2 linked regions of the Arabidopsis thaliana genome follow. The protein of the gene in region 2 interacts with the protein of the main gene of each other region in a pairwise test. Each region holds a gene or a part of one and is shown on either strand. Other genes may lie near its edges.

Region 1 (15,896 bases), on a different chromosome or scaffold from region 2:
GATGCTGCGATGGCTTTGTGGGCTGCATTTCATGAAACATACAAGTGATTCCATATTCAGAAGAATGAAGAAAATTCAAATTGGACCAGCCGGTTGGCATATATATACATCTTCGCGTGCAACACATAGGCATAGCTGAGAGTATCAAGAGCAAGAGACCACAATCCTGGTAACTACAAGCTGAAGATATGATTAAGACGCTGCAGAGGGAAGGGGTGTTAATCAAAGATAGTTTACTACATTTCAGAGTATAAAAACCAAGATGATTTGATCTTATTTTGTAACACACTCCTCTTAACTACGAGGTATAATCAAAATAAAAACCATCATCTGCACATGCATTTCAGAGTTCAATTGGTTGTGTACCATTCTTGCTACAAATGTAAAAATGAAAATCTAAGAACAGAGTGCCACCATAGTAATTCAACACAATATTCATCGTATTTGGGTCCCAACATCTGGGTAGTAATCATGTGCTGATGGTTTACCACAAGATTCAGTTCTTATGATGTGAATTAAACAAAGACATTTTCCATTTTCATTTGTCGAAGTAGTGCTCTCTTTTCTCATCTGATTACCTTCTTCCATCAGACTCAGATGCTGAATCTCTGCCATGTTTATGATGCCTAGTCCTTCTCATTGCCCCATCTTCCTCACTTGAAGACTCAGCCAAACGATGCCTTTTATGTTGCCTTCTCTTCATACTTTTCCCACTATCTTCTTCCGAGCCACTCGAGGAGGCTGAACCTCTGTTGTGCCTGTGATATTTGCCTCGCCTTCTTCTTCCACTCTCTTCCTCACTATCACTTGAAGTGACCACCTCACTGCGCCTGTGATGCTTTAAATGTTTTCTTCTCACATCTTCGGTACTGTCATCATCGCAAGTCTTTCTTGAGCTATGCCACTTGTGCCTCCGATGGTGCTTTATCTTCATCCTCAGCTCATCCTCTGACCCACTTTCATAATCACCAGTGCTATCATCGCTTGGACTCAAGGACCTTCTTTTCTGCCTCCTGGATTTCTTCTCTTTCCTCCTATCACTGTCATCTGAATCAGAGTGTGCATGTCTTCGGTGCTTATTGTGAGATCTTCTAGACTTTCTTCTCACCTCAGAGCTACTATCACTTTCTGAGCTAGATTCAGACGCAGCCCTTTGTTTTCTCTTAGGGCCCTTTGATCTCTTCACTTTAGTTTCTGTGTCTGCTTTGGCATTCGCAGCCGCCTCTAGCTTCTGCTCCCATTTCAAAGGAGCTTCTTGCTTCTCAAGAACTCTTCGTTTCTTCTCCTCGACCATCTGGATGAACTTCTTGCAGTCCATTTGGATAGAAAAAGCAACTGAAAATCTGCATTTTGGTATGAGGATAACCAAAAGTGCATCTCACAAAAGAGAAGAAAAAACAATGTTAGCTCTTCCATCAATCAGTCCAGCCAAAGCACAGAGAGTATCTACATGATGGTAATACAGAACACTACACAATGCTAATACAGAAGGAATAAAAAAAACACTTTCAGCTAAATCACAGTTGTTGCTATTAGGGTAAAACATTCCATCCAAACAAGGCACAGCGATAACTATGTTGCATTCCATCATAATCAATTCAATCCAAACAAAGCATAGAGACTAACTATGTTTCAGCAAAATTCCAGTAGTTGCTATAAGGGTTAAGTATTCCAACGTAATAACCAACGCAAAAACACAGAGAGCTAATAAGCTTTGAAACTAAAGCAATGAGATTCACTAAATCTGAACCAAACTTCTTACCTGATGCGAGTGAGAGGTATGCTAATCCAAAAGAGGAGAGGCAAGCGCACAACAGACTACGAATCTGCAAAAGAGGGTCAAGTCAGAGAAAGTCTACGCTAGACTCAGGCATGTAAAAACGAAAAAAAAAAAAAAAAAACTAGAGACGAAAACAAATCAACGGATTTAGAGAAACCAAGACGCTATCAGCAGGGAAAATTGGAAAACAGATCTGAAAGATCGATGATGATCCGTGAGAGATATAAGGGTTAGATCTTGATGAGATCTAAAATCTGAGAGAGAGCTTACCGGCGCAGAAACGAGAAGACAGAGAGAGGACGCTAGGGCTTCGCTTCCTTTGAGAAATTTGCCTTTCTGTTCTGAAGACTTGTAATTATTAGTATTTATGTATTTATATACAGTACACATTTGGTTAGCGTGCCGTTTATGCACAAAACCAAAGCACAGCGTGCCGTTTTGTCATCGTGCCTTGTTAATATGTTTGCACTTTGAAACTGGAGACGTTTAACACCAACGTGCTTTGAATTAATTCAATGATTTCATACCAAACAGTTGAATAAAATGGACCTAAGCTAAGATAGAATCGGATTCTTCCTTTTTATTACTCCACTTATCATTAAACATTAATGGACGCATCACAAACTCAGTACGAAAACAAAGCAATCGCAGTTTGCCAGAGAAACAAAACCCACACGGACGGAGCCCGTGTTAGTTATGGTTTGCAGTAGTAATGTTAAGCATCCACATCATTTTATATAACCCTGGAAAGAAAAATAGACTCCAAGTAGCTGTCTTTGTCATTTTAGTTTCGCGAAACTTTAGGTGTATACAGAAAAACAGCACTCACACACTTACACATTTGTCAACACAATGCCAGTAATCAAAATATTGCCCAGTGCAATGTTTGTGGCCAGACTCATCATCTTGGATCCTCTTGACACACGCCTGAACCACCCACAACAACAAGATGTTAAAACTGAGCAGCACTAAGAAGCCATGTGATGTGAGATAGATAAGCAGCACCGAAAGCAATCAACTCTCTCTCTATGTCAAATGACTCGTATAATGCAAAACAAGGTTATGACCAGTGACAGCTCAAGTCGTATTCACCTGATATTCAAGTAGTGGCTTCACACATTTTGGTTTGCAAGATTCCTCAAAGTATCTTTTCTGATCAACAACATCTTCTTCTGGCCTGTAATTATAACCATCGAGTAGGATGGAAAATCAAAGGTTAGATAAGCAAACTAAGGAACGAATAAAACGTTCATAACTATGACATAGCAATTTTTGTTGTCAAAGTAGGAGGCTGTTTAAGGGATGAAGCTAAGCTTCCCATGTTACACACAAAGCTCTTCAAGATTTTTATGTAAAGCAAGAAAACGGAGAGTGCCATTAAGTAAATACCCAACAAACTAAACTGTAGAGGATGTGCTTACTACTATGTGTCAAGACGGGAATACCAATACTATCTGATAGCTTAAGGGGATAACTCAATTTAGAGAGAAATTGCTAGAGATCTAATAAATGAAGAGAGCAAAAGAATAAAGAAAGGACATTGGTGAGAAAAATCCCTAACGGTGGTATAACGCAGAATCTAGACAAGACGAAGGAACTTACATGGCGAAATTGGAAAGAAAGCTTGACCTGAACTCTGAGAGAACAACGGATCAAAATTTATGTGAGCGACAATGTTTTATGTACCAAAGTAGATACATAGAAAGAATTGACATTATTACCTCAAGGAAGGAGGAACCCTAAATGTTTCGATTCGATTCGATTTCCTCCAATTTCATCGTCTTCTTCTTCCTCTTCTTCTACGTCTAGTTGCCGTTTCCGTTGTGAACAATATGGGCCTGTACCAAGTAACATTTTTAAGTAGCCCGTTAATGTCCAACATCCTCAAGCCCATGGTGTAGAAAATAAAAGTCAGAAGAAAGATGGTAACATTTGAGTTGAGAGGAGAGGCCGAGTTAGATTGTATATGATACATACACACAATATTCTCTTGATTCATGGGCAGAGGTTGGTTGGTTGTGACTTGTGAATAGGTTTCCCAGTGTGCAATACAAGGTAAACTGACGGAAGCTCTGGAGGAAAAAGAAAGCTACAAACTGATAGGAGGATTGAAAAAAGGATAGTCGATGTAGGAACTGATCACTTATCTTCATATATGTAATCCAAAAAGAATAGTCTCGGGTCATTTCAGTTACATATTAACCAAGACTAAGTATTCTGAGACTACTTTTGAATCTGCCGGTGCTCTCGTCAAGAAAATCAGTAATAAAACCATATGTCAATTCAGGAGCAGTTCATTTCAACTTGAGTGTTGACGTAACTGTCCATGTGGGAAAATGAGTGCATATCTCTAATTGATTAACAGAAATGTATGCACTTTAGATAGGCCAAGCGATTGCAGCGTGAGTAAACTACTGATTAGTATCTATGGTAAACAAACATTGTTGCTAGTAGAAACAAAAATTTCCCAAAAAAGGCAGGGGAAGGATGGATCTTGTTACATTTCTTTACCAGTTTGGCTGGATCTTTTTTTGCAACTCCTCTGCAGTTGGGAGTAGTCAGTACAAATATATATATAATAATATTATTATGTTACAGTTTTGGAATTAGACGCTGAGGCCATCAAAGCCACATTGCTTGTAAATGAGAGCTTGCTTTCTGGGACTAATGCCTATCCCGCAATTCACGGATACCTGCAATGCATCAATATATTAGCAAGCAGAGTGAATCTTTTTATATATATATATATTTTTTTTTTGATAAAATTATTAGTTTAAATCAATACACTATAAACCAGTGAAAGGAAGGAGATGGTGTCGTTGTTCGTAATTTACACCTCAATATATAACATATAATAGCTTTTTAGGTGGTGGCATAGACGTGGATGAATGATCCTAGAAAAAATATCAAAAGTGAAGGAGAAGCAAAGGCCAAAAGGAAAGCAGAGTGGGGACAGACAAGAGCATGACTAGTGGTGTAAGGAATCTATTTAACTTAGCAACCACTTTTTTTTTTTTTTACCCGCATTTTTTACTCAAAAAGTGTGGTAATTTCTTTGTCAAAAGTGTTCACACTGCGCTGGTTAGGCCAGATCGCTGAGCGAGCAAAATGCGGGGAGAAAAGAAGGGAGAAGAACCTGAACACCCGGTGAATCGAAATTCATGACTCGGATCTTAGCCCCCACGTCTCCGCGGACTGTGAGCTCCACTCGGTCGTTCAAGGAAGCATCTCTGACGAGATCGGCGGCGTGGGCTTGCATAAGATTGACTCTGTCGACGGAGATGGTGGCCTCAACGTTCTTCGTACTGTGCGCATCCTGGTAGAATCCAGGCACCGTCGCCCTCCCCAGTGGCATGCCTTTGTACATGACCGTGAAGCTGGACTCACCGTACCTGATTCCGACCTTGTTTGGGTTGACGGCGGTGAAGAGCATCCGGATGGTGAGGGAGAGGGAGGCGGTGGTTGGATCCAGAACAGCGCTTGGGTTGGAGATCCCCATGTACACCACTGCCACTTGCTGCAGATCGAACTGCGGCTTCTTCGGCTTCACCGCCAGTATTACGATGAGCACCACCGCCAGTACCAGCAGCGCCAGGAACGCGAACAGCAAGAACAAGCAGCAGCAGCATCCCTTCAGCGACGCCGACGACGACGATGAGTAGCTCCGGTAATACGGCTGCTGGTTCTGAGCAGCAATCGGATCGCCGTTGAGACCTGCTCTAGAACTAGAAGGAGGAGGAGGCATAGTAAGTGAAAGCAGGAAGCTCCCTCTCCCTTTTCACTCTTCTTCTGTAATAGCGGTGTTGAAATTATACACAACAAGAGAGAGAGACCCTGTTTCCGTGTCTGGACTCTAGTATTATTGACAAATTAATGTTTCACAATTTTAACCACCAATAAAAATATCAATAATGTAATTTACAGCAATTTTAGGCAAATCTCACACTCAGACAAGGGTTAGAGATGACTCAAAAAATGTTGGATCTGATATTAAAAAAACAAACAAATACAAACACACAGTTACTATCCTTTAGTTACATCATATATATGTATTACGTCGTTGCTTTGTGCTATATAGCTGACCTCTTGCTGATATTTATATTTTCGTCAACTCTTGATCAAACACAGATGCCACGTCGTTTCTATACTGACTCTCCTCACTCTCTTTTATCTTCTTCAACATCTTCTTCCCTGTCCGACTCCGCATTCTTCTCTTGCTTAACTAAGCTAATATCACCATCTTGCTTCCCCCCTGTCAGAGATTGAGCTTCCTCGTTTTCTTCATCCACGTCTCCCGAATATGCATATCTGTCCATCATTAGTTTCATATTAGCATCCCTATCACACCCAGGAACACCAAAATTGGACCACTACATAAGAACCACTAGCATGTAGCCAAGACTTCCCACAACATGCTCAGCTGAAACCGTTTCCACAAAACCATGCTTATTTGTTGGTATGCCCGAGAGGTATCAAAACCTTTTAAGTTGATGTAACATACCTTTGGGAGTTCTGCGAGGGGGTCCAGAGATAGCAAATAATACATAGCAACAAGAATGCGATAACATCCCAGAAGGCAGTTATAGTCCAAGCAGTCTGCCATCGTTCATTGAATGGATCTGTTGCTTTGAAATACACCTGCACGGGGACAAATCATCAGGCAAGCAAGCTGGGTATATTCCAAGAAAGAAGGAGCTTCTTTTTTCCTAGCTTGAAACAAAGCCAGTTTTAGTTGAGCAGTTTGTTTCCTAGAGGTAAGATTTGAGTTTACTAAATCAGCATCAAATCAGGCTTGACAGGATGGTACCTCATACACTATCCACGCAACAGAGGCAACAACCATCACAGCGAGTGCATTTGAGAACTTGCGGTAAATTTCCAGCTTCACCGAGGTCCTTTTCATCTGCAGTAATAAAGAATTTTATAGCTGGTCTGATGAATCTTGCCTCAAAACCCTTACAACTTACAGAGTCTGATGGCTATATTTAGAAAGAAAGAGATACCTGTAACTGTTCCAGTGTTTTCGAAAGAGAGGTAAATATCCACAATATGAGAAATGCATCGAGGAAGGCGTCAGGAAGGACAAGAAAAAGTTTTGATCTTCCGGACATATCGTCAATGATGCCAACGTGCTCAGCAATATCAAGGATCTCAGAAGCTATGAAGTAAGTAACTCCAACAAGGAGGACTTTAGAAGTGAGACCACCAAGAGTAGATTTGACAACCCCAAATCCCATGGAAACACAGAGAATGAGAATGCGGGAAACAGTCTTTCTCAAGGCACCAATGGTAACAACCCATGTAGTAAGGGCTAAAGGCCTCATCCCCGTGTGATTAAAATTAGCATAATCCAAGTACCAAAAGAGCATCTCAAGCAATCCTAGAAGAATGACGGCAGTAATGCAATGTTGAAGTGGCAATATATCCATCCGGAACCTCAAATACTGGAAGAACCAGACGGCACTGAGCAACAAATAAGCGAGAGACATATAGACATAGAAATTCACGAGTGGAGCCATCCTACCAGGAAGATAGCCGTCGGGATTTTTCCAAACAGTCTTTCCGGTCATTTTGAGGCCCTTAAGTTGTGGATCACAAGATATGAATAAGAGATTATAGATTCCAGTCTTGGTGATAAGAATCTCAGTGTCTGCCATCTTAGCAGACGAGCGTTTTCCTTTAAAGCGGACAGGTAAGAGGATAGGCCATTGAGGGTCATGTGGAGAAGGAATCCTAATGATCTCACCCTGCTTACAGCCTTGAAGCTTGGCCAGATCTGGAGTGCAGCAAATAGATCTTTGGCCTCCGTAAGCTGAACCACCGATATTGTTACGATCGGAGGCTTCAAAGATCACTGCTTGAACTAACCCATTGCTGCGGTGGCCCTTACCGGTAATTGTCCTCCAGAGAGTGATGTTCTCAAACCTGCAGTGAGGAGGGAGGATGAGTAGAGTAGAGTAGAGAGCATCAAAAGAGTTGAAAATGTAATCCATAGAATATACCTGATTAAAGATCGGGAAGAGGCGAAGATGCCCTCGCTGCCACCGTAGAGGAGGAGAGAATTACCGACATCGTGGAAGGGCTGGGAAGAGTAGATGTGGGCGGAGGCCCCAGCGATTCTAAAGTGTAATGATAGAAGAAATGGGCACAGCAGCGCAGACAGCTGGATCAGTTTTCCCAAATCCATTATCGGGGAACGAGGATCTCTGAGGCTAACTAACAGGAAGGAAGCGGGAGAAGAGCAGCTGCAGAGTCGCTCTTGTTCTAGCTGCTGCTGACTTTGGTGGACCAACCAACTTAATATAATGGTTTGGGCCTTAGAATGGTTTGGGCCTATACCGAGAGGCCCGGCTTACCCAGAAAGAAATGCAGCAATAGTCAATGCCACTGCCTGGAATTCGTCGATCGAGCGATAAGAAGAAGACTGGAATTTTTTTGAGGAGGACTCTGCTCCATCGCCGCCCGCCCTGTAACCCACCGGACTCAGTAAACTAGTCTGTAACACAATATCTTCTATTTCAGATAAGATTTAGCTTGGAGAAGAGCAAGTTCCGAAAATGGAGGGGCGTCGTGTATAGATCCACCACCCACAGGTTCGTAGATTCCATAACCTTGGATTGTGTTTTCTTTTTGCTTTCTCGGCGACAAATTCCTCCGATTTTAGTGAACATGTCTCTGATTTTGGTGTCCTGTGGTGGATCTGCCGGAGCAAGTCTTAAACTTGACTTGGACTGTTTTTACTAGCTAATTCTGGGCGCTATTTCGTCTTCCTTGTTTCCATTTCTATCTCTTTCTCTCTGGCCAGTCCTCATATGTTATCATTTCCTAGCTTTGCCACTACTCATTACTTTCCCTTTATCGTGTTTATATCTTAGCCCTGATGGAAGCAGACAACGGAGGCCCCAATTCTAGTCATGCATCCAAACAACGTCTGCGTTGGACGCATGAGCTACATGAACGCTTCGTTGATGCCGTTGCTCAACTTGGTGGCCCTGATAGTAAGTTTCCTTTTTTCTTGTATAGTCTATGGTAAATTTAGTAACTCATGTTTTCCTCATCAATATCTGTGGTAATAATATGCACACCAATATAATCAAATTGCTCTTCTTGTATGCTTTACTACTATCCATGAGAGGGAAAGCCTATCGTCTGTTTGCTTAGGGTTCCTAAACATTTTTCTTCCTTTGATTTCCAAAGGAGCTACACCCAAAGGCGTTCTTAGAGTGATGGGTGTACAAGGCTTAACTATATATCATGTCAAGAGTCACTTACAGGTATTCTCAAACTGTGTGGCATCTTGTCTCGTCTCTCTTTCTCTTACCCTTGCTGATTTTTGCATTTGTGTATTTTGAGTCAGAAATATCGACTTGCAAAGTATCTTCCAGATTCGTCTTCTGAAGGTAGTGTGGACATTGATTTTCTTCATCTTCTTTCTCATTCTACCAGTTTCCTATATACCTGAAAACTGGTTTTTTCAATTTTCAGGGAAAAAAACTGATAAGAAAGAATCTGGAGATATGCTCTCTGGGTTGGACGGCTCGTCGTACGTGAAATTTCCCTCTTTGAGCTTGATTTGTGATGCTATATATATATTACCTCGCGCCGCAGATTAAGTGATCAATATCGTTTCGAGATTACAGGGGAATGCAGATAACTGAAGCCCTCAAGTTGCAGATGGAAGTTCAGAAACGATTACACGAGCAACTAGAAGTATGCTTCACCATTCCTACTTAAGAAAGACAAGCAACAACGAAACAATTAGTAGGATTTTCAGTGTAGCACTGAATTTTGCATTACATATGACATTATTCTTTGATGTGATTTTTTCTTAGGTGCAAAGACAGCTGCAACTACGGATAGAAGCACAAGGAAAGTACTTGAAGAAGATAATTGAAGAGCAACAACGACTCAGTGGAGTACTCGGCGAACCCTCAGCCCCAGTAACGGGCGATTCAGATCCTGCAACCCCTGCCCCAACATCTGAGTCTCCTCTTCAAGACAAGTCTGGCAAGGACTGTGGACCAGACAAAAGTCTCTCAGTTGACGAGTCTCTCTCATCTTACCGGGAGCCTTTAACACCAGACTCAGGGTGTAACATTGGGTCTCCAGATGAGAGCACAGGAGAGGAGAGATTATCAAAGAAGCCTCGATTGGTGAGAGGTGCAGCTGGTTATACACCTGATATTGTAGTGGGTCACCCAATACTAGAATCAGGCTTGAACACTTCTTACCATCAGTCAGACCATGTCCTCGCCTTTGACCAGCCATCTACATCACTGCTTGGGGCCGAAGAACAGTTGGATAAGGTTTCAGGAGATAATCTTTGAGTTGTTGAGTGTACCACATGTAGTGTTGTTTATCCTAATCCTTATTAGTTAGGAGTTTCCTCTAATAATGTGATCACAAGTCGTTAATTCTCTAGGCACTATCACGAGCATGAAGAATGAATATGTCTGTGTTGTGCTGTAATTTGGTAAACACAAAACAAAATTACTCTTATTCCCAACACACTACATTCTTCTAAAGCTACTTTATCAAAACAGTAACGCATGCCGCATTTAAACATACACAGCTGAATAACCTAGCATAAAGTTAGCTAGGCCTGGAGATGATCTCAAAACAGAACATTACAAATTATCACGTTAGTGAAGCCTGCACCGTTCTGAAGGTTTGCATATTTGCTGGTGCCTTGATAATAAAGACTGGTGATGCGATCTCGAATGGTCTTGTCGATGACGGTAATGAGGTGAGTGCACGGGTTGTGTTCTTTATGGTATTTTCTAGTGTTACGTTCTCTCCAAACGTTGTATTTTACAGTTCTCATATATTAAATTTCTCAAATATAAATAAACTATTTTGGATCAACAAAATAAAAATTTAATATTTTCTAAGAAACAATGTTGCTTTCATATAAAACACTCTTTCTACTATAAGAAAATACTTAGTATATCAGTGTAATAAGGAACTTTTTGAATTGACAACTTATATTTTATTTTGGGAATGTGACACGTTTAGACACTTTTACAAAATCTTATTCTTTTTGAGGCACTTTTCAGGGATGAGGCACTTTTCTTTGTTTTTGGAGGTAAAAAGGACAATTATATCATTTCCAAATAACTGTCTAATCACGTAATATTTTCTTTAAAAAGAAATGAAATTTGCTTTTTTTTTAATCTTATATCTGATGAAAAAGGTCTTCCTCTCTCTCAGATCTTCTTCCTTCTTCTTTCTCCTTAAGCAGACATCTATCCATGAAATCAACGCAATAGAAACGATGAAGAAACCTCATTTTTTGAAGAATCCAATGTTTTTCCTATTTCTTCTCATCACTGCTTCTTCCTTAACTATACTCATCTTCTCCTTTCTTAAATTACCGGAAACACCTCTCGCCGCTGGTAACCATCTCTGCAAACTCGGAGACGACATCTCCGACGAACTCGGTTTCTTCGGGAAGATGATGATCGAAATGTTACCTGAAGATCTGGTTTTCATAGCCTTCGTACCGTCGGAAATATCATTCAGCCGAGATCTAGGGCTAAAATTAAACAATAGTCGTCCGATTAAATCCCATGAAGACAAAAAGAAGATAACGAGTCTATTTAAATATATCCATAAAAACGAGTCCATTTAAGTATATCCATTAAGAAACCTTTTTACTGATACATATTTATTCATTATACAATGTACATAATAAAAGAGATGCGATTAACTGTGGTTTGTAAAGCTACCAAATTTTCTTGTCCATAAGGTCTTGGAGGTGGAGGTCTCTGCAAACTGAAAGAAAAATCAACAAACAATAGTTTTGTATCCATAATAACAAGTCCATTAAGATATATTCATTCAGAAACCTTTTTACTGATCCATATCCATTCTATATACCATGTCCATAATAACAGAAGATTCGATTAACTGTGGTTTGTAAAAAAACCAAAATTCCATGTTCATAAGATCTTGAAGGTGGAGGTCTCTACAAACTGAAATGTCTCTAATTGTGTATCCAATATAAACTGGCCACATAGACTTATCTAAACAGTTCGTTTTATATATTTTAATACAAGATCCATCAACAAACATTTTATTGAGAATATGATACAATGTTGTTGATAACAAGCAAATGGTTCGTAATTTGTATTGGATCATAGACTGTAATGGATTGAAGGGGACACAATGAAATTAAAGTTGTTGGCTTTGGCCATAAACGACGTCGTCAAACGAGGAGGAGAAGTGCACAGAAACCGTCATATGTTTCATGTATCTGTTGTCCAAATTTTGTAATAAAGTTGGAGACTTTCAGAGATTTAGAATCAGATTCATGAATGTATTTAAAGATCTCCAGAGAAGAAGAAGAGAAGCGATAGATGGTTGAGAAATATGGTAGATGATGAGAAACCCTAAGAGATTCAATTTTGATTTTGAATATTGAGATTTTCTAAAAGATTAAAGAGAAATTGGACTTTAAAAATAAGAAAATCGTCAGTTATATGCCTTACTAATAATTTTGGGGTATAATAGTCATTTTAACAAGGAAAAGTGTCTAATGTTTTTTAAGTGTTGGAACACGTCAAATGTTTTTAAAAAGTGCCCCTTGATGTAATATTCTCTTTTATTTTTGTCGACTAAATTTATTTTTCATCGACTTATTTTATAACAGTCGATTTACATTTTGGTTAATTGTTTTTCTTACATAGATGACTTTTTCAACTGTTGACTTATTATTTTAATTATTAATTTTATAATTTGTTTTTCCGACTTGTTTAATCTTAGTAGACTTATTTTATTTTACGTTGATTTATTAATAAGATAGACTTTTTGAATTATCAGCTTTTTGTTTAATCTTAGTAGACTTATATTTTATTTTCATCGACTTAATTTTTTCTCTACCGACTATATCAAAACAGTCGACTTATATTTGGTGGGTGATTGGTTGGGCTGTAACTGTAGAATTTTCGCTGTAGAGATTTTGCTGTAGCTGTGTTGGCTGTAGCTGTAACTTTTATTGCTGTAGAATTACTGCTGTAGGTTTTTATTTTTAAATATTTATAAAAAAATGATAAGTAAATATAATAGTTGTAATAAAATTTTTTTTTTATAGTAAATAAAATGTCTTATATTACTAACTTAGATATATTTATTATGATTATATAAAAATAAAAAAACTCCTATGAATTTTTAATAAAATAAATCTAAATTTTATCTATGATTATTCCATAAATTTATTGCAATATAATTTTTTTTTTTTAGGTTTGATAATTATCAGTTTTTTTTTAGAATTTATCTTTGTTTTTGTTATATATATATTTTGATAAATTTTTTTTGTATTTATCTAATGAATTAAAATTTCTATAGCCAAGAAAATAGGGCTTTGAGAATTTACTCTAGTACAGCCTTAAAAACAAAATAAAAAAAATTTGGGCTGTAAGTTTAAAAAGAAAGCTACAACACCATTGGTTTGTAAGTTAGCAAGAAAATAGGGCTTTAAGAAAAATTAAGGCTGTAAGTCAGATTTAAAGCCCAACCAATCATGCACGAGTTTCTACAGAGTGGACATTTTTGAACTGTTCATTTTTTTAAGAAAGTGATATAATTATTTTGATTTTATCTTTGAAATATTAATTAAATTTAAAAAATTAAATCTAATTAATATATATATATATATATATATATATATAAATTCGTAATTAATATGAAAATACAGTATATTTTAATATAATTATTTAAAATTGTTGAAGAAAATATTAAAATTGAAAATTTAATTTGGATTTATATATATCTTAAATCCGTAAGTATTCTAACATTTCTTTAGATAAAAGTATCATGGGGATCCTAACATTTATATACAGTATATTTTAATATAATTATTCTGCGACGGCGGTGAGATCTGGTGAGCAAGATGCTATGATGCTTGACGTCGGAGAAAAGGGGCGTCCACCAGGGGATCCTCCGGATAAGTTGGAGTCGTGGGCTACGAAAGTGAAGGGTAGTGCTGGGGGAGGTATCTTGAAACCAGAAGACGTGATTGATGATGAGTTTGTGAGGGAGCGGGTGGGGCTGGAGTTTCCAGATGGTGAGGACGAGGAGCCAGTTATTACCATTGGTGAGGAGGTGTTGGAAGCCATGAATGGGCTTTGGAAGAAGTGTATGATAGTGAAGGTGCTTGGGAGCCAGATTCCGATCTCGGTGTTGAATCGCAAGCTAAGGGAGCTTTGGAAACCGTCGGGAGTGATGACAGTGATGGATTTGCCCCGCCAGTTTTTCATGATTAGGTTTGAACTGGAAGAGGAGTATATGGCTGCTTTAACCGGAGGTCCATGGAGAGTTCTTGGGAACTATCTGTTGGTCCAAGACTGGTCGTCAAGGTTTGATCCGTTGAGGGATGATATTGTGACTACCCCGGTGTGGGTTAGATTATCGAATATCCCGTATAACTACTATCATCGGTGTTTACTCATGGAGATTGCTCGTGGGTTGGGTAGACCACTCAAGGTTGATATGAATACGATTAACTTTGACAAGGGTCGTTTTGCTCGAGTGTGTATTGAGGTTAACTTAGCAAAACCTTTAAAAGGGACTGTGCTAATCAATGGGGATAGATACTTCGTAGCATATGAAGGACTGTCTAAAATCTGTTCTTCGTGTGGTATTTACGGTCATTTGGTTCATTCTTGTCCAAGAAATGTGGTGGTGAAAGTTTCGGCTGGGGCAGAGACGGTTACGGATAGAGCTGTGGTGCCTGTTGGGATGGAGGGAGATGACGGGTTCACAGTGGTTCAACGCACCGCTAGACGGCCGGCGGCACCGGTGCAGAAGATGGTGTTTGCGGTGGGTGCGTCTGGTGGTAGGTCAAAACAGAGGTTAAGGGAACTCCCTAAAAATCAGGGGGTGGATCTCGCAAATCGATTTGGTGGATTGGATGGTAATGGTGATTTGCCTGATTTAAGGGAAGTTGCCATTACAGAAGGGCCAAATAAGGAAAATGAATATCATGGGAGGAATGTGGGGAAGGTTATGGGTGTCCCACTAGTTAAGGAAGCTCGGGGTTCTACGCAGATGGAGAAAGGGAAAGGCGGGAGTAAAGGTGGTTTTAAATGGAAGCGTAATGGAGGGATGAAGGCTTTGGAGCCCATTGGGCCAAAACAGAAACATGGGGCCGCAAATAAGCCTGCTAGGGGATTAATATTTGGGCCTACTAAAGATGCAAACTCAGTACCAGTTGGGGAGGATTTGTTATCCAACGGGAAGCGACTGCGTGTGGAACAAAGAGATGTTGGGAGACCAGGTGGTGTGTATTCAAGTGCGATGGGTTCGCATGCCCATGAGGCTAGTTTCGACTTGGATTCATCGTCGACTTTGTCTCAGCGGTTCCAGCGGGAGGATTTGATGTCTGAAATAGCTGTTGTGAGTCATGAAGGATCGGAAGTGGGGAATTCCAGTGAGGGAATGGCATGACGTTTTTCCCCGGTAGTTTGGTATTTAACTCTACAATTTTTAATGGATTGTCTATTCTGGAACTGCAGGGGGGGCGAATAAACCCAATTTTCGAAGAGCAATTCGATTTATGTTGAAGAATTATAAAACAGACCTGCTTGCATTGTTCGAAACTCATGCTGGAGGGAACAGAGCAGAGAGGATCTGTCGAGGCCTGGGGTTTGATAATTCTTATAGAGTGGATGTGTAACGGCCGTGAACCGGAAAATCAGTTAGGGTTTGTTTTTAAATCATCCGGTTTAATTGGTTGGGTTAATTGGAAACCCTAGAGTATGCCTATAAAAGAAGGAAACTCGAAATTAGGGCTTTAGTTAGCCACTTTTCGTTTTGTAAAGGAGAAAAAGAGAGAAAAGGAGAATGAGCAGAATCGTTAGGGTTTGGGAGAAATCAGTTTCGTCATATCAAACCGTGGTAAAAGTTTCGTGAGACACGTTTTCTCAGACGCGAATTAGGACCAGCGGAGATTGAAACTGAGATCGTGGTCTCGTCTGTTTTTCGATCGAGACGAGATTTTGTGGGCAGCTTTGTGACGTCTGCAGCTAGGATTTCACCGGAGCGATTGAATAGTTAACGGACGTTTCTGGACTGTTTCAGACGCAAGGAGAGACTCTCCTGGGTTTAATTGCTATTA
Region 2 (15,896 bases):
ATACCTCTAAAAGCCAGTTAGACAAAGATAAGTTACTAAACTTGTAGATTCAGCCTTGTAACTACTAGCTTAGAAAAACCTTATGGATTTAGAACATGGTTCAAGAATTTTCCATATGGTTTCAATTGTGGTTTACGGGATGATTAGTTGAGATTGTAGCGGTAAATTGTGGCTTAAAATATTGATGTTATATATATATTGTTTTTAACATAGGTTATGAGTTAAAATAATAATAATAACTAAAGCTACAGATTATTGACTCTTAAAAAAACGAAATAGAGGAATACATTATATAGATGGTCTAAGTTTGACTCGTTTTAACCGTTAGCTACTTAATTATTAGGTGAAAATTCAAAATATTCAAGTGTACAAAGTACTTGTTTTAGATTAGAAATTTTTTTTTTTTTTTTTTGTAAATTAGATTGGATACTTTGGATTAACTATTCTTTTTTTGGATTCTATATTCAAACGTATCAATATCAGTCATATCTTATTATAGAAATAGGGTAAAAGAGTTGTCGAGAGTGGAGACGTCGGGGCAAGGGAAAATGACGTGCTCCCCACCACCCCAATGCTCACGCGCACTATGCCCCACTTAACCCTAATTTCCAATGCTAATCTATCAATTACATTTCATTTATTTCTTCATTTATTTAAAGATAACTACACTTATTGTATGTATAAACTGCAAAACATATGATACTAATATTTACTACTCTAGTGAAAGAAGAAAATGATCTGGCTAGTTCCCCATGCCACAACATTCCAACACAATACATTTATCTCTTTTGGTCTTGGGGTTTTACAAATTGTATCAGAGTAAACAAGAATATGTTTTCTAAAATAGTTTTCCCCATAAACCGATCTTTCCTAAAATATTACACCATGTGAAACCCAAGACTTGTCTAGGCAACCTCAGTAATATGAGTGTATAATTAAAGTTCTGGCAGAAAATTATAAGATGAATTCATTAAATACGTTATGGAGCTTAGGACTTTGGCATAATCGGTATTCAATCCCACTGTTATTTAAAATAGACTCATATAAAAATTGTCCAGTATATTTTATATATTAATAAAAAGAGAGTACACACATAGTATTGCGTTCTTGGATTCTATATAAACCCTATATAAATAATACTAACTTGTGAAAAATTAATTATTGCCCACTTTCTCTCTCTCTCTCTCTCTGATTGATTCTTGAAAAGAAAATCAAAGTCTCAATAGCTTTGTTTTGATTCTAGTTCCATTCCACAATTGCATCTAATTCTCCTACCGTAGCCTTTTCTTCTTTATTTGTCATCAACAACTCCTAAAATTCATATGAAATTAGAGAAATCGAAACGAAAAGATAATATTTTTCAAGAAAGAGCTACATATACACCTTTTGACCTTGTAAAGTTGGAACCCTAGAGGCCTTTCAAGCAAATCATCAGGGTAACAATTTCTTGATCTTTCTTTTTAGCGAATTTCCAGTTTTTGGTCAATCATGGCAAACCCTTGGTGGACGAACCAGAGTGGTTTAGCGGGCATGGTGGACCATTCGGTCTCCTCAGGCCATCACCAAAACCATCACCACCAAAGTCTTCTTACCAAAGGAGATCTTGGAATAGCCATGAATCAGAGCCAAGACAACGACCAAGACGAAGAAGATGATCCTAGAGAAGGAGCCGTTGAGGTGGTCAACCGTAGACCAAGAGGTAGACCACCAGGATCCAAAAACAAACCCAAAGCTCCAATCTTTGTGACAAGAGACAGCCCCAACGCACTCCGTAGCCATGTCTTGGAGATCTCCGACGGCAGTGACGTCGCCGACACAATCGCTCACTTCTCAAGACGCAGGCAACGCGGCGTTTGCGTTCTCAGCGGGACAGGCTCAGTCGCTAACGTCACCCTCCGCCAAGCCGCCGCACCAGGAGGTGTGGTCTCTCTCCAAGGCAGGTTTGAAATCTTATCTTTAACCGGTGCTTTCCTCCCTGGACCTTCCCCACCCGGGTCAACCGGTTTAACGGTTTACTTAGCCGGGGTCCAGGGTCAGGTCGTTGGAGGTAGCGTTGTAGGCCCACTCTTAGCCATAGGGTCGGTCATGGTGATTGCTGCTACTTTCTCTAACGCTACTTATGAGAGATTGCCCATGGAAGAAGAGGAAGACGGTGGCGGCTCAAGACAGATTCACGGAGGCGGTGACTCACCGCCCAGAATCGGTAGTAACCTGCCTGATCTATCAGGGATGGCCGGGCCAGGCTACAATATGCCGCCGCATCTGATTCCAAATGGGGCTGGTCAGCTAGGGCACGAACCATATACATGGGTCCACGCAAGACCACCTTACTGACTCAGTGAGCCATTTCTATATATAATGGTCTATATAAATAAATATATAGATGAATATAAGCAAGCAATTTGAGGTAGTCTATTACAAAGCTTTTGCTCTGGTTGGAAAAATAAATAAGTATCAAAGCTTTGTTTGTTCTTAATGGAAATATAGAGCTTGGGAAGGTAGAAAGAGACGACATTAAGGGACTTTCAGATTTTCAGTATTACTACTCCACGAAATTATTGAAATAAATAAACATTGTACTGTAAATTAGAATGTTTGTCTTTTTGTTTTTGTGTAGTAGTATTTAACTACAATATTTGTATGTGTTTGCCTTTGTGATCTTTAGATACTTTACATTTTGGTTGGCTCAAAAACCATGGGTTTATTATATATATTTAATGCTGGTTCAACGATGAAGGAACGTTGAGAGCATATATTGCCTATTTGTGCGTTTCGATATTATATTTCTAATTCATGATCATTTTTATTTAAGGTTTTTACCATAGGTCCATAGTGGTGGTTCTTTAATCTTCGCGTCATGATGCTATTGGAATTTTTTAATATGACTATGTAAACAAAAGAATGAGAGATTGTTGACTAGCTAAAAGCATATACGTACTCTCTATGTGTATTAATTGATGTTATTTAATGGTACATGACACGAAAGAAGCTTTAAAACAAAATTATGACTGAACAAAAAAAACGGTTGATGTTGTTGGCGAGAACGACTTAAGGAAGTTTACAAACCTATACTATGAAGTTTTAAGTCGTTGTAAGTCTTAACTAAAAAATACTATTACCAAACGATCATTTATTGATGTTAATGCACTTTTGTAATTTTTAGTGTTTTTTTTTTCCAAATAGAACTTGATATATTCCCTCTAATTTGATATATAAGATTTATGAGTTAAGAGCATGCATATTCAGAAAAATATATTTTAAAAATATCATTAAATATTTGGTTTACAAAAATTAGGCAAAATCATAGAAGATAGTTTCTAAATGACAATTCACAAGGAAAAATCAAGAAATAAATCATAATTCAATACCTTTTTTTTTACCTCATTTGTTTTGGATTATTGGTTGCATATATGGTTCCTAAGGAAAAAAGGATATTATTTTAAATTTGGGATGATTTTGTTAATAGGACAACATGGAGGAACCAACTATTTCAAGGTTAGAAATTTACTTAAACTCTCACCAAAAAACACGCCAAATTGGAAGTACTTATCTTAGATAAGTTATCTATCTACATAGTTTGCAAACAAATTGGTCTACATTCAGGTAAAAAAATTTCATTTTTTTTGTTATGTTCTTTTCTCTTTCTTTTTTTCTTTTTTTCTTTTTCAGTCTTGAATCTAGATTTATATGTTGAGTAAACGAAATATAAATCAAAAATTTTTTTTTACCATGTCTTGCTTATTGTACAAGAGACAAAATGAATATGTTCGACTAAAAGACAAAAAAAAAAGATTATAAAAACAAATAACTCATGTGATGTTTAATTCAAACAGTTACGGAAAAAATATATATACATTCTTGTAACTTAAGTTTAGAGTATGGATGGTACGTTTGAACATCCCCTGGTCAACATAATTACCCAATAATTCTGAAAACCTCGAATCCGACATGTGATCCGACCCAGATAGAAGAAACTGCAATTTCATCTATTATGATTTTTGTTTTTCTCGTTCAGAAACCTTATTCATACTCTATTTGACCAGAAAAATACCCAAAAACATTTCTGAAGGACTATACTAATTTTTAAATTATTTTTTATTCCTCGTCTTCAAATCTTTTTCTATTTCTAAACTAAGTCTCGTAGTCAAATATTGTATAATAGAGAATATTCGAAACACATCACCATCACTACATCAAAACTTTCACATATATATTAGCTAATTGTGATCTATTCTTCGCAATGTATTGTTATATTTTTCGTTGTCTTTTACCTTACCAAAAACTAATACTGCCGCCTTATGCCACTAGACAATTTGTTAAACTGGATTTTCAGCCAAATAGTGACAATCTAACAATTTTGATTATTAAACTAATGAAAATGTATAGTTCCTTTGTAGATACCAATATGTATCACGTCAAATCGAGTGGGGGATCCTAGAAATGGCGCAACATGAAGGACCATCTTCACATGAATTCACGTGTCAATTGTCAAAGCCAATGGGACGTATATAATTATTCTATTAGTATAATATAATTATAATATCGTGTAATTAATAACATCTATGTGGTCACATCATTGCAAAGCTTAAAGACAACCTTAGTTACTTAATCGGACCAATTTACTCCATTAACTATAATTATTATGCGTCACACAAACTAGATTATGGTAATATGGTGGCATCATATTTCTAACTTTCCAAGCCTAGCTACTTTCAAACTAAAATCTATAATGTTTTACGACTAAAACAAACACAAATAAATGTGTTTATACAAGGTTTTGATATTGTTAACTTATGCTTTATTCATACCAATACAAACTCATTGTTGCTTCTCTACATATATATGCAACAGCCACAAGCATTTTCTGAACCCAGCCTCAAGATAAATGAGACCTTTTTAATCATTTCATTGTGCGATAGAATAAGTTCCGTTATTTTCTTTCTATTACCGACCAATCTTTGGATTTCAGAAGAGCTTTTAGCCTTTTACAATTTCATAAGTAATTTATGCAACAAATTACTTAATATGAAGTTTTCCTTAAGTGAAAATAATAATTAAATTTTTTGATTTTGAGTCTAACAAAAAAAATAAAAATTGGTTTCAATTATTATCTTATTGTGTAATAATATATAGGTGTTGTATATGACTAAATAGTGCTGAATTGCTGATGCATGATGAATTCGTTTGGAGTTAATGAAGATTGAGTAGTGCTGATTAAGTTGCTAACTAGTAGATCCACCGTCAAAATAAAACCTTCATTTTTTCTTAAGTATTGATAAATTTATCTTTATGAAATCACTAATTATTCTGACAAATCCAATGCACTTTGGGAGCTTGAAAAGCCGCAATCTCGTTCTCAGTCACTAACTGTAATGTAGCATAGGCTTCCACTAAACCTAATTAACGAAATTTGGACCACCAAATAAACAAACGAAATTAATACTAACCATTTGTAGTAAAATTACACCTACAAATCTACAACATCCTGTTTTCTTATAATTGTTGTTTTAAAATCTGTACGTCACAATATATTTAAATATTATAATTTCTAATATACCTGTCATTAATACAATTTTCTTTTCTGCGGATGAACTTTTTTATAATATTTTTTTCTTCACAATACAAATAATCATTTAGTCATAAATCATTTTGAAATTACTAGTAAATGTTTGTTCCCTATCATCTACTTGCCACACAATTGATAGATATTAATCATTTTCGTATAGCTTTATATATGTTTTTTTTATTATTATTGTACATTATGTTGAGTTTAAATAGTGATACAACGATACTAATATTAAGTATTAGTATTACTATATATGTTTTGATCATATTTTTAAACTAAAAATTGATTAAATATGCAATAAATAAAAAATGTTAACACCTAATAATTCCTCCAAATTAAAAAAGGATTCTTTAATTTAGCTTCTTAATGTTAAAGACGGACTCATCCAAAAATCCTCTTCTTCTTTATTTTTGATGAGACTTCCTACCAACAAAAGAATCATTTGTTACCGAAAATATCAGTTAACTTACAATTGGTTGGAATCTTAAAATGTATACTTAATAAGCTGATTCGTGTGATTGAACTAAACAAAAGATTTCCATCAAGTATTACATCATTGCCCACTTCGTGATTGCATTAGTAATATATTTACTTGTTTCAAACATAAAGTAACTTTAAAAGAATATTGGTATATATGGAAAAATCCAAATAAAGCCATAAAGGTCTATAGTTAATCCTAGTCACATCCTATTCTGTATATTTTCTTTAACTTTTATTAATTAAACATAAGGAAAACTTAAGTTTTGTCTTTAATTAAAGGCCTTTAATTGGATAATAATCTTCTAACCCCACCTACTTGCTTGAAACAAAAACACATAAAAAATCAGTTTCTAGAAACTTAGAAAAGTAAGTGTCATTTACGTTTATCATTAGCAAATCAACCGGATGAACGTATATTAAATATTGAAAAAACATACAATCAGATTATTAATTTGAGTCCCACTATTCAAAAACTAAAATAAAAATACAATCATTCATTGGTGTAAATAAATTATTTTTGGTTGTGATTTTTCTTATAAAAAATTACAAGTAAATGAGTACCAATAGCCTCATTAAAAAAGTATTTATAAAAAAAAAATCATAAACCAAGGAAAATCTTGTTCCTTTTTATATCAATTTTCTGTATACATATTTAAATTGCCCTGTTTAGTAGTATTCCATCAGATATAAAACTTTCATTTATTCGCTATGTCACAACTATTACAGTAGTTTTTCTGGCTGAATTTAGACACTTTTAAACTGAGAACTGAAAAATTTATAGAGATTAGATAGTCAAAATATATTTTTTAAAAAAGCTTACAATAAACAAAAGGAAAGATTGTTGTTAAATTTCCAAGGAAAGAAATATGGGAAAGGCGCAAAAAAAGACTGAAACAAGAAAAAGACAAAAGAGGAAACTGAAGCTTTGACCGATACAACATCTCCCACGTGTACATGCTTTTCCTCCCGTAAATACCGGGCAACCCTCTCTTCAAAATTATTTTATTTTTACATAAAAACTGCAACATTTAGTAGTATAAATTAAAATGAAATACATAAAATGTGGTTCCACATCTTCTTCTTTTTTTGTTCATGATATCTTATTCACATAATAAACTTTTTCTTTTTGTCTCATCGTATGTTATCTTCTAAACTTAGTTGAAAAAGCTTAATTATGTAATTTTAGGGCATCTTCATCAATGAGAAACTCACAAAATTTCTCAAACAAAAAAAATATTAATATTATATTATAATTTGATTATTTGATTAAAAAAGTATTTTTGTTAAAAAATTGAACCAATAGTGAGATGAGAATTATCATGATGAATTGTATAGAGTATCTCGGAGTTTCTCAAGTGAGAAACTTTGTACACTCTCTCTCCTTCATTTTTTTTATTTTTAATTTTTTAATTGTGAGAAACTCTTATGAGATACTCCCAATGGAGATGGTCAGTTTACCTACAAAACTTAGTTGAAAAAAACTTGTTATATAAGTGGTATTTTATTGTCAATGTGTAAATTACTATTCCATTTCTACTTTTTTTGTTTCTTCCGTTCCGTTGAACTGTACACTATTCTTTATATTACGTATTATGGATTTATGGTACTAGACTACTAGGCTATCGGCTATGACCAAATTCACATTCATATATAACTCCGGTATCCCACTGTTGTTTATGATTCTATAAATATCACCAAAGTTCAAAATCCAAAGTTTTGGGACTAGCTAGAACCGATTGGGTGGTCAGTTAGTCAGGTTTGTAGAAACAAGATGAAATATATTGGAATTAGTATTTTGTGCCCAACGTATTCATCTATTTTAGCCCATAATCAAACCCCCAGATTGCTTATTTGGGTTGGTTTTAAAGTTTAGTGATATTTTTGTTTACTGCATAAATGATTTTGAGAATACGTTTAGTGATATCAAAATCTGATTTTGAGCAGATGTTTATGGAGAGTCAGATTTTGATATCACTAAATGCGTTTGACAAGCTATGCAACACGTTCAGGGCCGGGTAGAGTTTCATGTAGAATCGACGAATTTCTGATATAGGGTTTCCAGATTCTTCAAAATCATTGTAAAGGACCAAAGTTATATGAAGGAACATCGCCTATTAATCGAAAATTTGCTCCTCGCAACGGAGTTAGTCAAGGACTATCATAAAGATTCAGTCTCAGAACGCTGCGCTATCAAAATTGACATCTCCAAGGCTTTTGATTCAGTTCAATGGACCTTCCTCAAGAATGTCCTCTTAACTCTTGATTTTCCTCAAGTTTTTGTTCATTGGATCATGCTTTGCGTTACCACAGCATCTTTCTCGGTTCAGGTTAACGGGGAACTAGCTGGATACTTTAATAGTTCACGGGGGCTGCGTCAGGGTTGTTCTCTATCTCCTTATCTCTTCGTCATTGTCATGGATGTTCTATCCAAGAAGCTTGACAGAGCTGCAGGCTTAAGGAAGTTTGGATACCATCCAAAGTGTAAAAATCTTGGTTTAACACATCTTTCTTTTGCTGATGATATCATGGTGCTCACAGATGGGAAACTTCGATCCCTTGAGGGTATTGTGGAGGTCTTTGACAGTTTTGCAAAACAATCATGTCTCAAGATTAGCATGGAGAAAACAACAATTTATCTTGCAGGAATTTCTGATACTGTGCGCCAAGAGTTTGAGGAACAATTTCATTTTGAAGTAGGATGTCTCCCGGTGCGGTATCTCGGGTTACCTCTAGTCACCAAGAGACTCACATCTCAGGACTACAACCCGCTTCTTGAGCAGATAAAACGACGAATAGGAACATGGACAGCCCGGTTCTTGTCCTACGCGGGTCGTCTAAATTTGATCAGTTCGGTTTTATGGAGTATATGTAATTTTTGGCTCTCTGCTTTCAGGCTTCCACGTGAGTGTATTCGGGAAATCGACAAGCTTTGTTCTGCTTTCCTTTGGTCAGGACCAGAGTTAAGTACTAAGAAGGCTAAGATTGCTTGGGATACAATATGTAGACCAAAACAAGAGGGAGGATTGGGTCTGCGGTCAATCAAAGAGGCAAATGATGTATGTTGTCTGAAACTTATTTGGCGAATGGTCTCGCATGGTGATTAGCTATGGGTGAAGTGGATTAAGACCCACCTCCTAAAGCACAACACTTTCTGGTCCCTTAGATCAGCACAACAAGGCTCTTGGATGTGGAAAAAGTTGTTGAAATACCGAAACATTGCAAAAGATTTCTCTAAGGTTGATATTAGAAATGGCGAAAGGTCTTCATTTTGGTATGATGATTGGTCAACCATGGGCAGATTGATTGACGTCGTGGGCGAACGTGGCCAAATTGATATGGGGATTAGTAAGCATAAGACGCTTGCAGAGGCATGGGACGGAAGGAGCTCACGTACGCATCGAGCAGCAATTCTAAATAACATTGAACAAGAACTTTATTGGTGAAACAAAACAGAGTGATGGCAGAGGACATTTTTCTTTGGAAAGGGAGAAAGGATATTTATCGGCCACGTTTCTCAACACGAGATACTTGGAACCATACTCGCACACCTTCGCCTGTAGTCACTTGGCACAAGAGCGTCTGGTTTGCAGGAGGGACCCCCAAGTTCTCTTTCTGCGTCTGGTTGGCGGCTCACAATCGTTTAGCAACAGGAGATCGCATGCTTAGCTGGAACAGGGACTCTCCACAGGATGCGCTCTTTGTAATCACACGCTGGAAACTAGAAATCACCTTTTTTTCTCTTGTGTTTACGCTTCAGAAATTTGGCAGGCTCTGACAAGGAACATCTATGGAGCAAAGTATACTACTCACTGGAATGACTTGATTGCAGCCACTTCGGGTCATTGGCAAGATCGAACAAAGCGGTTCATAGCTCACTATGTCTTCCAAGCAACGATTCATACTATCTGGAGGAAACGTAACAATCGGCGGCATGGCGAACAACCAAATCCACCGGTGCGTTTAATCCGATGGATAGACAAGCAAGTAAGAGATCGACTTTCTTCACTGAACACAAGCGGAGAAAGAAGACATGAGACGGGACTTCAAATTTGGTTTGCAACAAGAAATTTATACTAGTTTCTTTGATCTAAAATGTATTTAGCCTTTTTCAAACTCACGTTGCACTTGTTGTACAAAAGACATTTTTCTTTTGAATCTAATTTAACATTACATTAAAAAAAAAAAAACATTAAGTTTTTTTCTTTCGAGATGAAAGTGTTTGAAGATGCAAAATACAATCAAATTAGTAGACTATTAAAGTAAATTTGATTCTAAGAAGTACATCAGTAAATAGGGAATATGTATTTGTAATTCATATCAATTTTACATTTTGTTGTTGTGATTTTACTTTATTGTTCTTTATTAAATTTTATGAAGAGGAAATATTTATATGTTGTTTTGGTGAATATATAACTTGTTTACCAAAACTTAATTTGGAGCCATTCTAAACTGACAAATAAAACGAGTTAAATTGAAAACAATTGATCGTAATGTCATGCCACTTATATAATTTTAGCATATAGAAAAAAAATATTAACAAGTTTAGAATAGTTAACCCAAAACACTATCTTTATCAGCACGCAAGGTCTTTAGCTTCTCAGTTTCCAATTCAATCTTTAACTTCTCCACCATCTCTAGAAGCTCTTCTTCTCTGCTCTTCTCTTCCTTGTCCCCACTCAATGCTTCGATTATAATCGACACTCTTGCTCTTTGATGCTCTAAACTTTTCTTCAACACTTTCAGTTTCTCTAACACCAAATCTTTATCAAACCCAACAACCTCACCTTCTTGGTTCTTAGCTTCCTCGTTCGACAAACCTAAACCGAGTTCATACCCCGTTATTGTGACGTTATCGTCTTCCTTTTTGTCTTTTGATTGATCTTCTTCACGTGGACTGGACTCAGAAGAGTCTGATTCAGTAGCTGGGAACACTGGACTAAGTTGGAGATCGTCTTCACGGAAATTCCACCCACTGATTCTTCTATTCTTCACTATCTCTTCGTCTTCTTCTTCTTCTTCTTCATCATCATCTCCAACACTCTTGATCAAAATCTGACTCTCCATAAACATCTGCTCTGCGTTTGACAAGCTATGCAACACGTTCTTGACCACAAAGTCGAGTCCTTTACAGTTCTTGAAAAAAGGATGCTTCAACAACTTCTCTGCCGATGGTCTTTTAGTAGGATCTTGCTCTAGACACAAACCAACCATTTCTCTAAAAGCTTTTGAGAACTTCTTGTTACCCTTTTTGCTGCTTCCGCTCGTATTGATCTCGTAATCAGAAAAATGAAACCTTTTGGTGATCTTCATGAGCAGACTCTTCAACGGCGGTAAGTGAGATAACGGAGGTCTTCCATGTGCTAACTCCAACGCTGTTATCCCGAAAGACCAAATGTCTGCTTTGAAACCATACCCTGTGTGGGAATGAACCACTTCCGGAGCCATCCAATACGGTGTTCCCGCTATATCAGTTAACCTTAAAGAAGAAGATGTTGTTCCAGAGGAAGATGTCACGGGTTCATAGATGGATGCAGATACTCCGAAATCAGCGAGCTTCACGGATCCATCAGAATCTACCAGAATGTTACCTGCCTTGATGTCACGGTGCAAATGACCCTGATCGTGAAGATACGAGATTGCATTCAGAGTTTCCTTGAGGAAGACGGAAATGCAGTTTTCTGGTAACCCACTTGGAAAAGACGAAGAGACGATCGAATGAAGAGAGCCACAAGACATGAATGGCATAACCACCCAGAGACATCGATCAACGGTGAATGAACAATAAGCATTGAGAATATTCGGATGAGAAAGCAGAGACATCGTCTTGGTTTCACGGCGAAGACTGTCAAAGTCAGCCCGCGACTGATCAAGATCGATGGCTTTGATAGCAACTACCATTGAGTTCATCGGAATGCATATGGCCTTGTAGACCGAAGCACTAACACCAACGCCTATCTTGCAGATGATCTCGTAGGCTTCAGCATCAAGAGGGAACTCGAGCTTGTTCCGAGCCATAAATAGAAAGAAGATGAGTACACTCTTGCTTATTGAATTGTTATGTTTTTAGTGGAATTGTGGTCTTTTAGAGGCTAATAGTACCATGAGGCTATTCATATAGGGATGAAAAAAGAAAGAGTTGGTTTAGCATGTGAACTTGAAAAAAAAGAGAGCCTTTAATGTAAAAGCAAAACCCTTATCTCTTACTTAAAAATATGTTGATGAAACAATAAGATGAAGCATGTGAAAGAGCTAACTAACTAACCTTAGTTAATGAGATTTTACCTTTGGTCTTTCCAGGGACCCAAAGGGCAAACACTATCATTTCAACTTCAAACCGGTAAAGGTACAAAAATTAAATGGAGCTATGAAAATTTATTTTCATCATTTCACAGAAATTTAAAGTTCTAGATTTAGATATCTAGACTCGTTTTACAACTTTTTTTTCATGGCATTTCTGAAGAACTTGCATTTGCCTTTGACCACATGAGAAGGAAACAAAGACTAGAGAAAAGACGTCAGCCTTCTTGACATTTGGTAAAATGAATGATCAAGTATTCAAACATCAATATGCTAAGATAAAATCACAATGGAACAGAACTTGTTTTATAAGTCTTCAGGGATGTCCTTGAAACATATACTATAAAGTGGGCAAAAGACTTATGAAACCTACTTAAACATCAGCACTTCACTGTTTACTTTGTCTCACACGTAAAGCAAATGCAAGTAAATCAATGCAGTCAAAACTCTAAGCAACACAGCCAATCCCACAGCATTAAGGTCTACTTCATAAGAAACTTGTACCTGTCAGTATGTGTTTCTTATTCCATGAACTGAAGCTATACCAATAATCAGTGTGCACCATATCAGTTGGACACTTTGTCAATTCAACACATACACGCTTTAGCCTGAACTTTTCTTTGATCTGAAATATACTCACGAACTCTCTGAGTTTTACTTCGCATGGGCTCAATCATATTTTCTGTCTTGTGAATTATCTCTTTTGACAGATGACCCTCCAGAAAACTGAACAATGCTCCTAATGTCATCTTTCTTAGATCTGTATCAAGTTCATTGTTCATATCTTCTTCAACATGACAGCTTAAACCCTGCTCTCCTGAATCAGTAACCTCATCATTTTCAAAGCTCTTCAACGGCTTCTGATCCGCTTTCTTGTTCTTCCCTTTGTTCTTTCTGGCTCGATTTAGAACCATGTCCAATTCCAAATAAGAATCTCCAACAATATCAATCTTCTTGCTTCTTGTAGCCCTAGTAATCCTCTTCTCCTTTAAAGTCTCTACCTTCTCTACATTAACCACTCCCAAACAAGCTTTTCCTACACTTTCTTCAATCTTCTTGCTCCTCGTAGCCTTACTGCTCACTCTCTTCTTCAATCCCCTCCCTAAATTTTCCTCCACCATTGCACAATCCTCCATTTCAACCTTAATTAAGTTTACAGATGAACTCTGAATACTTTCAACATTCCTAAAGCTTCCATTTTTCTCCACCAGATCCTCTTGTAATCCATCAGTAATCCCTAATTTCTCCGAATCCTCGATTTTCCTAACTTTCCTAACCCTAGAACTCGGCTTGTTCTCAAATTTCACATCCAAACCCTTTTCTTCCTCAGTGATATCCCCCAAATTGATACTTTCTAAAACCCTAATTCGCTTCCTCGCATTAGCCTGACGCCTATTGTTCCTCGTAAGCTTCTTCTCCTGAAAATCATCAATCACAAAATTCACCAAAATAGATGTATACTCACCTAGTTTGATAACATCGCCATCTCCGAGATTTACCGACGTCTCTGGATCAAGAGCATTCGAATTCAATAAAGTACCGTTGGAAGATCCAAGATCTTGTATTACCCAATTCCCAGAATCCGATTCGATCCGAAGATGCTTAGTGGAGATTCCAGCGTCTTTAATTGCGATTTCATTACCACGAACGATTCGACCAACACGAATCGTAGATCCAGGCTTGTAATCTAGAGCATCGCCTTCTCTTGGACCCTTGACGAATACTAATCTCAACGATGGCGTAACCATTGTTACCGTTTCTCTCCCAAATGCGAATTTTGAAATTTTGATTTGTCTGACGCTCCAATTATTAATGGGCCTTAAATGGGCTTTTATCGTTTCGACGATAAAACAATTTCAAGGCTAAAAGCTACTATTGGCTAAACAACTGGCATTATTGATTACCCAAACTTCCAGCAACACACGTGAATCTCTCAGCAAACTTATCTCTCCCTTATCCACTTTTTTTCCAACCTTTTTCCCCTCACGCTCCTTTACCCTCGCGTGTATCTCACCTCATCATTTGGATATCCACTGTTAAAATTCCCTTTTATATTCGAAATCAACCAAATTTAACCTTACTCCTATAAATTAATTAGGCTCTTATCTACAATTGTTGCAAATCAACAAAACGTGCTTCTAATGCTAACACAATAATTGATTTTTGAGTATATTCCTCTACGTAGTGAACACGACGCGCTAAGATCTGACGCGTGGGATATAACTTGTCGGTCAACGAAAGCGCCACGTCATCGCCACTATGCTTGTCCTTATCATTTCCTTTCACCCGCCAACGTCGTTTCAAGCACAGCAAATAATATCAGAACACATTTTTTTCTTTTTATGATTTAATCAATTAAATCACCAAACTCAATTAAATAAAAAGAAAAAAATTATTATTATCCCTTCTTCTTCTTCTTCGTCTTCGTCTTTGATTCTCCTGATTCATGTCGCTTAAATTTTTAGCGATCTTCGAATCCCATTTTCCTTCGGGAATCTGACATTTTTTCTCGGGAAATTTTTTTATCCAAATCGGAGTAAAGTATCGAATCTAGAGAATCCGCTATGGATGAGACCTATTTTGATCTATTGAATTTCTTTAAGAATCCCTCTTTTACAGAGACATTTGTCGACATCTTACTATGCGCAGTTCCGATTTGGCTCGCCGTTATGATCGGGTTATTAATCGGATGGTCTTGGCGTCCAAGATGGACCGGTTTGATCTATTTAGGGTTTCGTTCTAAGCTTCGGTTTTTATGGACCGCACCGCCTGGGTTTGGTGCTCGTCGGCTTTGGCTTGCTTTCACCGCTCTCTCTGCTTTCTCCGTTTGCCGAACCATCTGGTCAAGGAATGACACCAGAGCTAATAAATCGGCGACCGGTTCAGCTTCGTCGCAGACGCCTGTTGAGGATAATGATGAATCAGGATTGGCCTCAAGGTTAGTGTAATGCTTAATTATTGGAAGATGTAGAAGTTTTAGTTCTCTGTTTTAAAACGTAACGTTTACTTTTAATTTAGCTAGATAAGGTATATAGTGTTTGCATTATCTTTTAGTTTCGCAATAGCATTGGCAAAAGAATGGTTTTTTTTTTTTTTGCATTAGTTGATTTATGGATTGGTTATATTTGCAGAGGTAGCGATAACGGGACGGTGACAGAGGATATTGTGACAGAGAATGATTTAGAGCATCTGCTTCAGCTGCTTGAAGTTGGAAATGCAGCTTTGGAATGGCAATCTATGATGGATAAGACTACTCCAAATATGAGCTACCAGGCTTGGCGTCATGAGCCTGAGGTAATCTAAGTTTTATACTCTTGCTTTGTATCCGTTTCCTTATGCTACGCCTGAATGATGTAGCTCAAGGAACAAGCTAAGTCATTGAGTAGTAGGCGGAATAGTCGAAAAAATGAATTCTTTAGAGTAATTTGAATGACATCTGAATCAGACCACTGCTTTTAGGTTTATTGGTAATGACGAGGGAGATATGTTTCTAAGGATAGCTATAGACGATCAATTTTTAGGTGTCTAGTAGTATACATTGTGTTTCTTTGTT

What was found.
Region 1: the proteins of AT4G14480 (region 2) and AT2G01070 interact in a protein complementation assay, tested with the Arabidopsis thaliana proteins (one large-scale study listed by BioGRID).

Annotation. Positions count from the first base shown.
Region 1 is NC_003071.7:67,667-83,562, reverse strand, and holds AT2G01070 (Lung seven transmembrane receptor family protein), read right to left. Parts: upstream 8,044-15,896; 5' UTR 7,968-8,043; coding exon 7,783-7,967; intron 7,706-7,782; coding exon 6,784-7,705; intron 6,684-6,783; coding exon 6,588-6,683; intron 6,419-6,587; coding exon 6,282-6,418; coding exon of another isoform or gene 6,263-6,281; exon of another isoform or gene 6,163-6,262; intron 6,089-6,162; coding exon 5,938-6,088; 3' UTR 5,698-5,937; downstream 1-5,697. Other genes in the region: AT2G01100 (FAM133-like protein), read right to left, coding at 575-1,318; AT2G01090 (Ubiquinol-cytochrome C reductase hinge protein), read right to left, coding at 2,606-2,707, 2,873-2,957, 3,383-3,384; AT2G01080 (Late embryogenesis abundant (LEA) hydroxyproline-rich glycoprotein family), read right to left, coding at 4,387-4,473, 4,917-5,525; AT2G01060 (myb-like HTH transcriptional regulator family protein), read left to right, coding at 8,661-8,778, 8,978-9,054, 9,138-9,180, 9,266-9,323, 9,421-9,490, 9,613-10,107; AT2G01050 (zinc ion binding / nucleic acid binding protein), read left to right, coding at 13,679-15,226.
Region 2 is NC_003075.7:8,319,484-8,335,379, forward strand, and holds AT4G14480 (Protein kinase superfamily protein), read right to left. Parts: upstream 12,382-15,896; 5' UTR 12,062-12,381; coding exon 10,598-12,061; 3' UTR 10,423-10,597; downstream 1-10,422. Other genes in the region: AHL20 (AT-hook motif nuclear-localized protein 20), read left to right, coding at 1,489-2,334; AT4G14490 (SMAD/FHA domain-containing protein), read right to left, coding at 12,931-14,091; AT4G14500 (Polyketide cyclase/dehydrase and lipid transport superfamily protein), read left to right, coding at 14,908-15,281, 15,475-15,637.